Nothobranchius furzeri: one gene and its partners. The protein of the gene in region 1 purifies or fractionates together with the protein of each later gene. This does not show direct contact. Links are inferred from orthologs where the notes say so. Each region holds a gene or a part of one and is shown on either strand. Other genes may lie near its edges.

The links.
Region 2: the proteins of timmdc1 (region 1) and ecsit purify together in Homo sapiens (affinity purification with mass spectrometry; 3 studies listed by BioGRID and IntAct, counting the BioPlex papers as one, with this or other methods). This does not show direct contact. The link is inferred for Nothobranchius furzeri from reciprocal best matches to the Homo sapiens genes TIMMDC1 and ECSIT.
Region 3: the proteins of timmdc1 (region 1) and ndufa13 purify together in Homo sapiens (co-immunoprecipitation; 3 studies listed by BioGRID and IntAct, with this or other methods). This does not show direct contact. The link is inferred for Nothobranchius furzeri from reciprocal best matches to the Homo sapiens genes TIMMDC1 and NDUFA13.

Annotation. Positions count from the first base shown.
Region 1 is NC_091754.1:55,555,290-55,559,310, forward strand, and holds the start of timmdc1 (complex I assembly factor TIMMDC1, mitochondrial), read right to left. Parts: upstream 2,801-4,021; 5' UTR 2,660-2,800; intron 1-2,659. Other genes in the region: poglut1 (protein O-glucosyltransferase 1), read right to left, coding at 3,964-4,021.
Region 2 is NC_091743.1:88,487,589-88,491,710, reverse strand, and holds the start of ecsit (evolutionarily conserved signaling intermediate in Toll pathway, mitochondrial), read right to left. Parts: upstream 2,801-4,122; 5' UTR 2,685-2,800; intron 2,539-2,684; 5' UTR 2,513-2,538; coding exon 2,423-2,512; intron 1-2,422.
Region 3 is NC_091751.1:56,690,203-56,693,709, reverse strand, and holds ndufa13 (NADH dehydrogenase [ubiquinone] 1 alpha subcomplex subunit 13), read right to left. Parts: upstream 2,231-3,507; 5' UTR 2,021-2,230; coding exon 1,927-2,020; intron 1,354-1,926; coding exon 1,275-1,353; intron 1,188-1,274; coding exon 1,116-1,187; intron 1,025-1,115; coding exon 955-1,024; intron 724-954; coding exon 604-723; 3' UTR 501-603; downstream 1-500. UniProt on the Homo sapiens protein: Accessory subunit of the mitochondrial membrane respiratory chain NADH dehydrogenase (Complex I), that is believed not to be involved in catalysis. Complex I functions in the transfer of electrons from NADH to the respiratory chain.

The DNA.
Region 1 (4,021 bases):
AAACCTGAACAGTTCCAACCCGGTCTACTGTGAGACCGGGTTGACGCGTCACGCTTGTGCGTAATCATATGCGTGTTCTGAGCTGACGAGGATGTGAGATTCTGGGATTCTCCTCAGACGGCTCCTGGATGTGTCGCCACATTGGAGACAGGAACAAGCGCTATTCAGCCAAAGTTTCATAATCAGGGAACATTTTCTAAGTGACAAGTCTCGTTTCAGTCGGAGGAATCTTCCTGCATGCGCTCTGGTTCTGCAACGCGCTCCAAGCCCCTCTCCACATCTTCAGCTCGCTATGGACCTTATGTAGTACACGCTGACAGTGAGCTGCGCTGAGCAGTGTCCAGCTCAGATGTTCAGATGGGAATCTTTTCTTGAGTGATTTAGCGACATCTGCGATGTGTGTAGAATAAAATGTCAGTTCGTCTGCATGCGTCGGGGTAATTCTTTCTATTCTTTCTCCGTCAAAATAAACGGTCAAATACGGGAACTGTCCGGTCAACACAAGCCCTGCTTTAACTGTTCTGTTTTCTTGTGAAAATTGTTGCAAAGAGATAAAATTAAACTTGATTAACACCAGAGCCAGGCGCACTGCGCCGTTATCTCCGTCGCTGTAAATGAGGGAAAAACAAAATGATCGGATCCTTTTCTGACCTTCCCCACCTACAAAGTTTAATTACAACAATGAAACGTGACAGAGCCTGGATTTGTATTCTGAACAGTCTAAACATGTTTTAAAAAGAAACGTATGACAAAAGTGGCACCTGCTCAGTAAAACCACCAACAGGGTGAAAAATATCTAAATATTGTAGGCAGAGACGGGCTACAACTTCTGGATCCACTTTATATAAATCGTTTTATTGATTATCGTCTTATGTAAGAGAACTTTGACGTACACGAGCGACCGGCACCGACTGCTGTCACCTGTTGTGAGCAGCTCTCTGCTGTCTGAGGGTAGGCCCCGCCCACAACGCCGTGGCTCCCAGTGTTTTCTTTACTGTGGGAAACGGGTAATAATGGCTCTTTGATGGGAACAGGTTGCCGACCCCTGGTCTATGTCTATGCAGGACAATAAAGTTTGGAGGTTTTACAATTATTTCTGGGGGCAGAGTTGCAATGACATGCGCACTGCGTTGCTCTAGCTCCAATTTAAAACAGAAAAGGTGGACAAGGATACAGGGCCAATATTACCAGTAATCAAAGATGTACCCGTTACATTTAAATCAGATGGCTGGGCTAATTTCAGTTTTGGGATCCTGGATGTGAAAGAATCACTTAATACAGTATTTGTTTACTATTTTTAAGTTCAGTAATATTCTATCTTAAAGCTGCTCTACCGAAAACATTATTTCTTATATTATTTAAGTAATTATAGGCAGCACACTTTAAACATTATTGCTCACTATAGTGAATAGATGAATGTTATGTTTTTCAGGGATTTCGAAATCAAAAAGAAACTGAAAACTATTCTACTGCTTTTATTAAGTAAAGAAAATTTTTGCATGAAGAATCGTGATGCATTTCAGACTCAGATCAAATCTTTAGGCAGATAATCGGAATCGGATCGAATCGTGAGGCAGGTAGAGATGCACACCACTAGTGCTCACTCCCAAGGCCCTAAGTGTGTGTTTGCGTGGAACGTCGTTGGTGGAAGTGTATAAGGTGCAAATAAAATTGGGGGGCAGGTTGCCACAGGAATGCGGAAATGGGGTCCATACCCACACTCCCTGACTTGACCACCCCCCAAGGTCCTATGTGCATGTTTGTGTGATGATGTGAGGGAGCAGGAGGAGAGAAATGTGTGGGGATGGGGAGGAACGGCTGGTTGGGCTTAGCCCTCCAGGAAGCCAGCTCCCCCACTGGCCCCAATAGGCACCTCTGCTGCCAAAATGCCACCCAGGGCATGGAGACACCAGCCCATCCTGCCAGGGCCCAAAGCAGCAGCATCACAGAGCCTCACGGAGTCCGAGGGCACCAACCCAGCAGAATATCTACGCCCATCCATGCATTTGCACAACTTCCGCATTATAAATGACATAGGACATCCAGGTAAGGTTGGGTCCTCCCCCTCCTGGACCCCCCCCCCACTGATGGGGCAGCAGAGGAGCCAAGGTCTACCTGAGGCCCCTGAACCCGAGTCAGACACTGCTGCATGTTCCTGCCTTCTCCCCGGCAGCATACATGACAGGTTTATTTGAACAAAAATAAGAAAACAAGTCTTGAAACAGCCGTTATTCAAGACACATTTCTTACATTTGTATCGCCTTTAAGGGAACCCTGTTTATTCTATAATACCTAAGGCTGGACTAAGTGAATGAAAACACTGCTATTAGCAGCATTTGTGCAGATGAAATTGGAATTATACACAAAAGGTTACAAAAAAAATCAAACCAAAAGGGCTGACGCACCTTAAAGTAGACTTAATAACCTTTAAAGTTGAACACCTGCCTCTAATGTCCAGGTTTTAGCAGGTTAACAGTAAAAACTGCAGCACTAAATATGTTTAAATGAGTATCTGTGTATTTTAAAATCACAAAATAGCTCTTTATTTGAATTTTTTTTAGTAACAAGTATGTTTATAGTAAGCTGTATGTTTATAGTAAGCTAAGCTTATCAGATGTTAGCAACAATTAGCATGTTAGCTAGGCTAACAGCTACTTACCAGCAACGAGCGTTCAGTTACTCGTCAACAGTGACGTGTCGGTCTAACTGAGTAAAGCGGTTCGGTTAAATATTATTTATAAATGACAAAACTTTTATCATCATGCATGCCCTTTACATGTCCATTCTGTCCAGGACCAACAGACTGCAGCGGCTAATGACATCTGACCGCATTGCGGCTGCGCGAACATTGGAGAGCTAGCGCCCCCGGTGGTCAGGAGGATAAATGGTTCTAAATTTTCCAAGTAAAAACGTTTGCTTGGGCCTTTTGAGTCCATTTCTGCCACTGTGATAGAAAAATAAACTATTTCTTGAATTGAAACTTTGAGGTACTTATTTAGTAGTATTATCACATAAACATGAATTAGGAATTTCTTTTTCATCAGTTGTGAAAATGTGTCCATACTTTTTAAATTTACTTGTGTAAAGCAACTTAATTGCAGAAATTTGTGTAATTTTTATTTATTGTAGAGCAGACTGTGTAAACAAGCGTAATAGTTAAAAAAATAATGTTGACTGCAATTTTACAATGTTTATTCTCCAAACACCATGGAAAACTACAGTATGTACAAAAACAAGCATAGATACAAAATCTGAGTAAAGGGTAAACAGTGAAATTGTAAATCCATATTAATTATAAAAACACATTGCAGAATTCGTGTTTAATGGTTTTACTGTAATAAGAAAACTTCAGATATCAAACTAAAACTTGATCGCAGCTTTATTTGTTCAAAATCAGGAACACAGATGTGGCTAATATTTGTAAAAAACTAGTGGGAACCTCGTGGTTGACAGGATAACGTGAATACTACAACATATTCAACTTAATCCTGCTTTTACCCTCAACTCCTTTATTTAATACAGTAAACTTAAGTGACACAAGTTTCTTTGAAACTAGAGTAAAAACAAACACATAGATCTAAAATTATTGCTCGTTATTAGCACTTTGTGTCAACATTTGAACATCCTAAAGTCTTATTCTGTAACAGACTAAACATTCAGCTGCAGTTGTACAGTAGGAGGCGGTGTGTGACATCTTTATTAGATTTCTGTGGTTTAATGGTCATAAAAACTGATTTATTCACATAAGCAACCAAATATAGTAAATAAATGACAATAAAACTCAATACTGTGATGTAGGAAGTTCCCATGATGCACCCTGACAGCCTCATTGGTCTAGTTCACCTTTCTTTGAGTATGTGGTAGCTCCCCCTAATGAAGAAACAGCAGCATCTGAAGTCTTTTCTCACCTAAAACTATCTCTATCTAGGTTTTGGCATCGGTGAGGACACGGTGCCGAGTCCCTCACAGCTCGGCTCTGTTGGGTTTCTGGATGATCTGCTTGTAGCTGCTCTTCCTGCTG
Region 2 (4,122 bases), on another chromosome or scaffold:
GGTTTAGACTGCTGGAGGACATACTGGGTTACCCTGGCTCATCCCTTTAGTTATGCTGTATGGGTTTAGACTGCTGGAGGACATACTGGGTAACCCTGGCTCATCCCTTTAGCTATGCTGTATGGGTTTAGGCTGCTGGAGGACATACTGAGTTACCCTGGCTCATCCCTTTAGTTATGCTGTATGGGTTTCGACTGCTGGAGGAAGTACTGGGTAACCCTGGCTCATCCCTTTAGTTATGCTGTATGGGTTTAGACTGCTGGAGGACATACTGAGTTACCCTGGCTCATCCCTTTAGTTATGCTGTATGGGTTTAGACTGCTGGAGGACATACTGAGTTACCCTGGCTCATCCCTTTAGTTATGCTGTATGGGTTTAGACTGCTGGAGGACATACTGGGTAACCCTGGCTCATCCCTTTAGCTATGCTGTATGGGTTTAGACTGCTGGAGGACATACTGAGTTACCCTGGCTCATCCCTTTAGTTATGCTGTATGGGTTTAGACTGCTGAAGGACATACTGAGTTACCCTGGCTCATCCCTTTAGTTATGCTGTATGGGTTTAGGCTGCTGGAGGACATACTGGGTAACCCTGGCTCATCCCTTTAGTTATGCTGTATGGGTTTAGACTGCTGGAGGACATACTGGGTAACCCTGGCTCATCCCTTTAGTTATGCTGTATGGGTTTAGACTGCTGGAGGACATACTGAGTTACCCTGGCTCATCCCTTTAGTTATGCTGTATGGGTTTAGGCTGCTGGAGGACATACTGGGTAACCCTGGCTCATCCCTTTAGTTATGCTGTATGGGTTTAGACTGCTGAAGGACATACTGAGTTACCCTGGCTCATCCCTTTAGTTATGCTGTATGGGTTTAGGCTGCTGGAGGACATACTGAGTTACCCTGGCTCATCCCTTTAGTTATGCTGTATGGGTTTAGACTGCTGGAGGACATACTGGGTAACCCTGGCTCATCCCTTTAGCTATGCTGTATGGGTTTAGACTGCTGGAGGACATACTGAGTTACCCTGGCTCATCCCTTTAGTTATGCTGTATGGGTTTAGGCTGCTGGAGGACATACTGAGTTACCCTGGCTCATCCCTTTAGTTATGCTGTATGGGTTTAGACTGCTGGAGGACATACTGGGTAACCCTGGCTCATCCCTTTAGTTATGCTGTATGGGTTTAGACTGCTGGAGGACATACTGGGTAACCCTGGCTCATCCCTTTAGTTATGCTGTATGGGTTTAGACTGCTGGAGGACATACTGGGTAACCCTGGCTCATCCCTTTAGTTATGCTGTATGGGTTTAGACTGCTGGAGGACATACTGGGTAACCCTGGCTCATCCCTTTAGTTATGCTGTATGGGTTTAGACTGCTGGAGGACATACTGAGTTACCCTGGCTCATCCCTTTAGTTATGCTGTATGGGTTTAGACTGCTGGAGGACATACTGAGTTACCCTGGCTCATCCCTTTAGTTATGCTGTATGGCTTTAGACTGCTGGAAATACTGGGTAACCCTGGCTCATCCCTTTAGCTATGCTGTATGGGTTTAGGCTGCTGGAGGACATACTGGGTAACCCTGGCTCATCCCTTTAGCTATGCTGTATGGGTTTAGGCTGCTGGAGGACATACTGGGTAACCCTGGCTCATCCCTTTAGTTATGCTGTATGGGTTTAGGCTGCTGGAGGACATACTGGGTAACCCTGGCTCATCCCTTTAGTTATGCTGTATGGGTTTAGGCTGCTGGAGGACATACTGGGTAACCCTGGCTCATCCCTTTAGTTATGCTGTATGGGTTTAGGCTGCTGGAGGACGTACTGAGTTACCCTGGCTCATCCCTTTAGTTATGCTGTATGGGTTTAGGCTGCTGGAGGATGTACTGGGTAACCCTGGCTCATCCCTTTAGTTATGCTGTATGGGTTTAGGCTGCTGGAGGATGTACTGGGTAACCCTGGCTCATCCCTTTAGCTATGCTGTATGGGTTTAGGCTGCTGGAGGACATACTGAGTTACCCTGGCTCATCCCTTTAGTTATGCTGTATGGGTTTAGATTGCTGGAGGATGTACTGGGTAACCCTGGCTCATCCCTTTAGTTATGCTGTATGGGTTTAGACTGCTGGAGGACATACTGGGTAACCCTGGCTCATCCCTTTAGTTATGCTGTATGGGTTTAGACTGCTGGAGGATGTACTGGGTAACCCTGGCTCATCCCTTTAGTTATGCTGTATGGGTTTAGGCTGCTGGAGGACATACTGGGTAACCCTGGCTCATCCCTTTAGTTATGCTGTATGGGTTTAGACTGCTGGAGGACAACATCTCACTCTGTTGACCTCGCATACTGAGGACACGCTAAAACCCGTAGGGGTTTGTTCCCGGGCCAGGTGTGCTCGTGTTTACGACACTGCCTGGTTAAAAAGCTCACCTGGTGCTGACGGTGGTTCTGGTTGGTCTGACCGGAGGCTGGTCTACCGGACCGGAGCAGCAGCGGCAGGAGGCTGCGGGAACACCTCATCGTTGCGCTTTCCGACTAGCTCACAGCTAACAGGACGAGACAACCAGGTGGGCACTTAGGTTTCAGGTAAAATGACATCATCGTTACATTTATGTATGCTGTAGCAGACAGCTAGTGTCGCGCGCTGCCTGAACCGGATGTTCCTCTAACAACAGCAGGCTGAAAAACTCACTGTGAATTCAGTCTCCTTCAAAACTCGTCTCTGTGCTCGCCTCCATGTTAGAAAGCCGCGAGAACGTCCTGTTTCTACACCGAAATACTTCCCCTTGAACAGCGGGAACATTTACCGAGATAATCGTTCCGCTTGGCTTTTTTTTTTTCTTCTGACTCATTTTCGTCTAAAACTCAAGTATTTAATATGAAAATAAAAATGTGCTGCGGAGGCTAATTCATAACAAAAACTATTAAAACTGTAATCATGAAAGGCTAAAATAAAGACTGGTTTTACAGCATCACAAAAGGAATACGTGTTTTTATCATTTAAAGGAGCGACTGTTAGGAATCAGAACAAGCACACCACACAGACTACAGATTATTCATGAAAAACTGACAAGACAACATCAGTGTAGGGGCGACGGTGGCACAGGAGTTAGGTGCTCACCCGTAACCGGAAGGTTGCAGGTTCAAGCCCCGCTCAGTTTGTTGCTGCTGTTGTGTCCTTGGGCAAGACACTCAACTCACCTGCTGCTGTTGCTGGTGGTGGTCGGAGGGACCGGTGGCGCCTGTGCTCAGCAGCCTCACCTCTGTCAGCGTGCCCCAGGGCAGCTGTAGCTCATCACCACCAGGGTGTGAATGTGTGTGTGTGAATGGGTGAATGACTGATTGTGTTGTAAAGCGCCTTGGGGGGTTCCATCACTGTAGAAGGTGCTATATCAAACACAGGCCGTTTATGATTTAAAGACTATGACCTCTGGTTTCCTCCCACCTACCAAAAACATGCATGTTAGGTCAGAGTTGTTGTTTGTCTGTGTCGTGTGTGTGTCCCTGTGACGGAACAGAGACTTCTAGAATGGAAGATCCATTAACTCAAAGACAACAGCAGTCACAGTCAGTTTTATTGTCAATTCTACCACATGTGCAAGACATACAGAGAAATGAAATTGAGTTTTAGTACACACAATTCAGAGATCAGACATACATGGGCAAGACACATGACAAGAATTAGTGACTGTGGTCATTCGCAACACGAGTCGTGCTACCTTAAAAGATGAAAAGGGAATTACATGAGGATAAATTGGGGGAGGGGAAAAAAGGCACACCAGAGTTACTCCCGGCAGGGCGTAGCTTTACTATGCAAAAAAAAAAAAAACGCCTCAAACATATAAGCACGAACATCACAGTTCACAACATGAGACTCCGATGGGGGGGGGGGGGGGGCTGGGATCCTGTTTCCCCAGGGCGAGCAGCCCTGTGTGGCGCTCAGCCAGCTGTATCCACAGGAGGGAGGGAGATCTTGGAGAAGCGCAGAGCACATTTGAGTTCCTGCAGGTTGATGACCTCACTAGAAGTCCACAATCTGAAGGGGGGGGGGGGGGACGGGTTTTCACAACATCTGTTTGCATTCCTTCCTTCATGGGGGTTGTTGTCAGCAGCTCAAGGCTGCCTTGGCG
Region 3 (3,507 bases), on another chromosome or scaffold:
TGGGTTTAAGGACTGGACTCTGTGGTGGTCAATCCACGTGTGAAAATGATGTCTCATGCTCCCTGAACCACTCAACCATTTGAGCCTGATGAATCCTGGCATTGTCATCTTGGAATATGCCCTTGCCATCAAAGAAGAAAACATTGATGGAATAACCTGGTCATTCGGTATATTCAGGTAGTCAGCGGACCTCATTCTTGGACCACATCCTGTTGCTGAACCTAGAGCTGACCAGCTGCAGCAACCCCAGATCATAGCACTGCCCCTACAGGCTTGTACAGTAGGCACTAGGCATGATGGGTGCATCATTTCATCTGGCTCTCTTCTACCATCATTCTGGAACAGGGTCCATCTGTACTCAGACCAGTTTTTAATAATGTGCCATCTAGAGTTATTTATATATACACATATGAACTTAAAAGGTTTCTATGCGCGAAGTTGGTTTAAATAATCTGGAGTCAGACATTAAATAAGCTAAATTGATGACAAATCAGAGATGGTACAGGAAAAAAAGTTGTTTTATTTTACATTTACAAGGTGACGTGAGCGAAGGCTAAAATTCACACAAAAGTTGAGGCTAGGGGCTTTTTTCCCCAGTTGTGATTACACGTACCACGCAAAGCCATATTTCTGGTGCAAAAGCTCTTCGCGTGGCCGGAGGTTGAAGAGCTCTTCTGTCAGAGGCGTGACCCAGCGGTCCGTGTGGAAGACGCTCTCGCCAACCTGCATTCATTTTAAAATTACAGTTTGAGTTAGATCACAGAACTAAATCAGTGGATTCCAATTAGACACAATAAAATGTTAATTTGCCCGACTTATTAAAACAATCTAAAATACATTTTATTGTATAAACAAAAAATAAGAGCTGTTTAATTAACCTGATAGTTTGTGGCTTTGTAAAACAAACTGCTGACAGGAACTCTTTATATTTATTGAGCATTTTAATAACTTTACCTTCCAGTCTGGAACATCTTTCATGAGGATCGCCTCCTCCTCTAAGTTTTCTCTCAGCATCCTCAAGGTACTAGAAGAATGAAAACCCAAAACGATGAAAGAACTGATTAGTTGCTCCTGATATTAATATGAAAAAACAGATAAATGAAGTTGTTTTTTACCTTCGGTCAAGCTCTGCCTGCATCAGAGGCATTAATGCTATTCTGGTCTCCAGTTCCTCCATTTCGAAGCGCCTGTGATACGAACCAAATATACCACTATCATCAGCTCAAATGTGACTACTATACAACCTGAAAGCTACATAATTGAGATTTTCTTACCGCCTCTCTCTGTTCCAATTGAACATTCGCCAGTAACCAACCAGCATGACACCGATGCCAATGCCAAACATGCTATAACCTGTTGATTTGTAAAATATATTAGTATAAAATTTTACATGCTCAAATAACTACTTCTTGTTGGTCTGATGTTACAGACGGAATATGGTCAACTTGTATTCATAGAGGAGGAAATGTTTTTATTAATACAACAATATTATTTATTATTGTACAACTGTGTATTGAATTTACAATAGCTTTGGTATTTTCCTATGGTTATTTCTAATGGTCACTTAAAAAGAACACTAGTTATTTTCACTTCTGGACCGAACACTAATGACTAGAGAACTAAACACTGGTTCGTGTTAGCCACCAGTTAGCTTTCGATGTCAGAAACGATTCATGGAGCGATTATGGTATTTTACAGACTTCCTTCTTGCTCGGATATTTGACAATTACCTCTTAATTAAGAGGTAAACATACCAATTCAAGCCTCAAGCCCCCGGGTAGTTTAATTCTGACTTGGAATAATCAGTTTCATGTTGACGCTGAGCAGCTAGCATTAGCCACACCGACAACAAACGTGAATGGTCAACATTTCACCTCCGCTGCGTGGGTCTGTGAAGGTAAATAGGTGAGGGAAATGCGCATTTACCCGAAAGTCCTCGTTTAGGTAGGTTTCTCTTATAGTCAAAGGGGGCATATCCTCCTGTAGGAGGCATGTCCTGCTTCACCTTGGAGCCCGACATCTTTATCCAGCCTCCTCCAACGAACCGAACGTCAGCCTGCTTGATCCACGGAGTCTTCTTCTGTTGGGACACGGACTCTGGTGCTCCACAGCTCCCCCATACGGCCGGAGCCCCTCCTTCTTCTTCTACTTGGTGTTTAGCAGCGGTTGGCAACCAGCTTAATGGAGCATTACCGCCTCCAACTGTTCCGGAGTATGGACCAGACAGTGAGCTCACAATCTAAAACCTACACCTTCACTCTCCATTCCCTCTCATTTAATCCTCCTTCCTTCTTTCCCCTTTTGCACCCTATTTCTTTCCCCTTCCTTATCAACAGCAAAAATAACTATTCCTATCTACACCCCATGAAAAACCCCTACACTCTTAAGAAACTCCACCAAATCCCTCATCTGCACCCTACAACTCGTCAACACGCTCTTCATTGTGAATTCCTCAATACCCCTCTCCCTCATCCTTTTCCGCAGAAATTCCCTTTCCACAAAATAACCCTTACACCACAGAATTACATGCTCTACCCTCTCTTCCTCCTCCTGTCACACTCCACACAACCCAGTCTCACGTTTACCTATCATTTTTAGAGTTTTGTCCAACGAGCAATGACCCAATCTGAGCCTGGTAACAACTACCTCTTCTCTCCTATTGCCCCTATTCACCCCATGCCCTAACACCTCCTTCTTAACATTATATAAATGCCTCTCCTTGCTCATATAATCCCACCTTTTCTGCCACTCCTTCACAATCCCCTCATTCCTCTCCCACAACCGAGTTTATCTCCCAACCTCCTCTGACCTATCAGCCCAGAGGACTCCGTCCTTCACCATCACCCTCCCCTCAGCATCCGAGGACTCCACCATTCACCATGGACAGGAGCCATAATGCAGATGCTGTTTTCAGAAAGGGTCAGAGCTGACTCTAGCTGCTGAGATCTCCTTTGGAATGCAGGGGAGTGCTCCTAAGGACCTTATTTAGTTTCATTCATACCAAATGTGGAACAGATGCGGTCCTGACTCTGTATGGCTTCCTTATAAATCAATCGGTGTGATCTAGGTGTTTGACTCAGTGGTGGCATCAGCCATCTTTTCTGGTGGGGTTAGTTGGGGGGAGCAGTTGGGAAGCCCTTATCTACTGCTGAGACACAGAGATTAGATAAGCTCATTAAGGTGGTCAGCTATGTCCTACTTGATCCAGTGCAGGTGAGAGATGGAAGGACTAGCAAAACTAACATCACTGAGACAATGTCTCCAACCCATACATGAAGCCATTGTGGAGCTGGAGAGTTTCTTAAGTGACTGCATGAGTACACGGACTGTTACTGAACGTCAAAATTTACAACCACCACTTCAAATTTTTGTCTGCCCCCCACACATTTTTGTTATTTGCAGTTATTTTTTGCACCCAGTCATATCTCATTTGCACATTTCTCTTTTCATGTTATCACTCCATGTAAAAATCTGCAAGTCTTTTAATATTTATTTTTAAAATGTAAA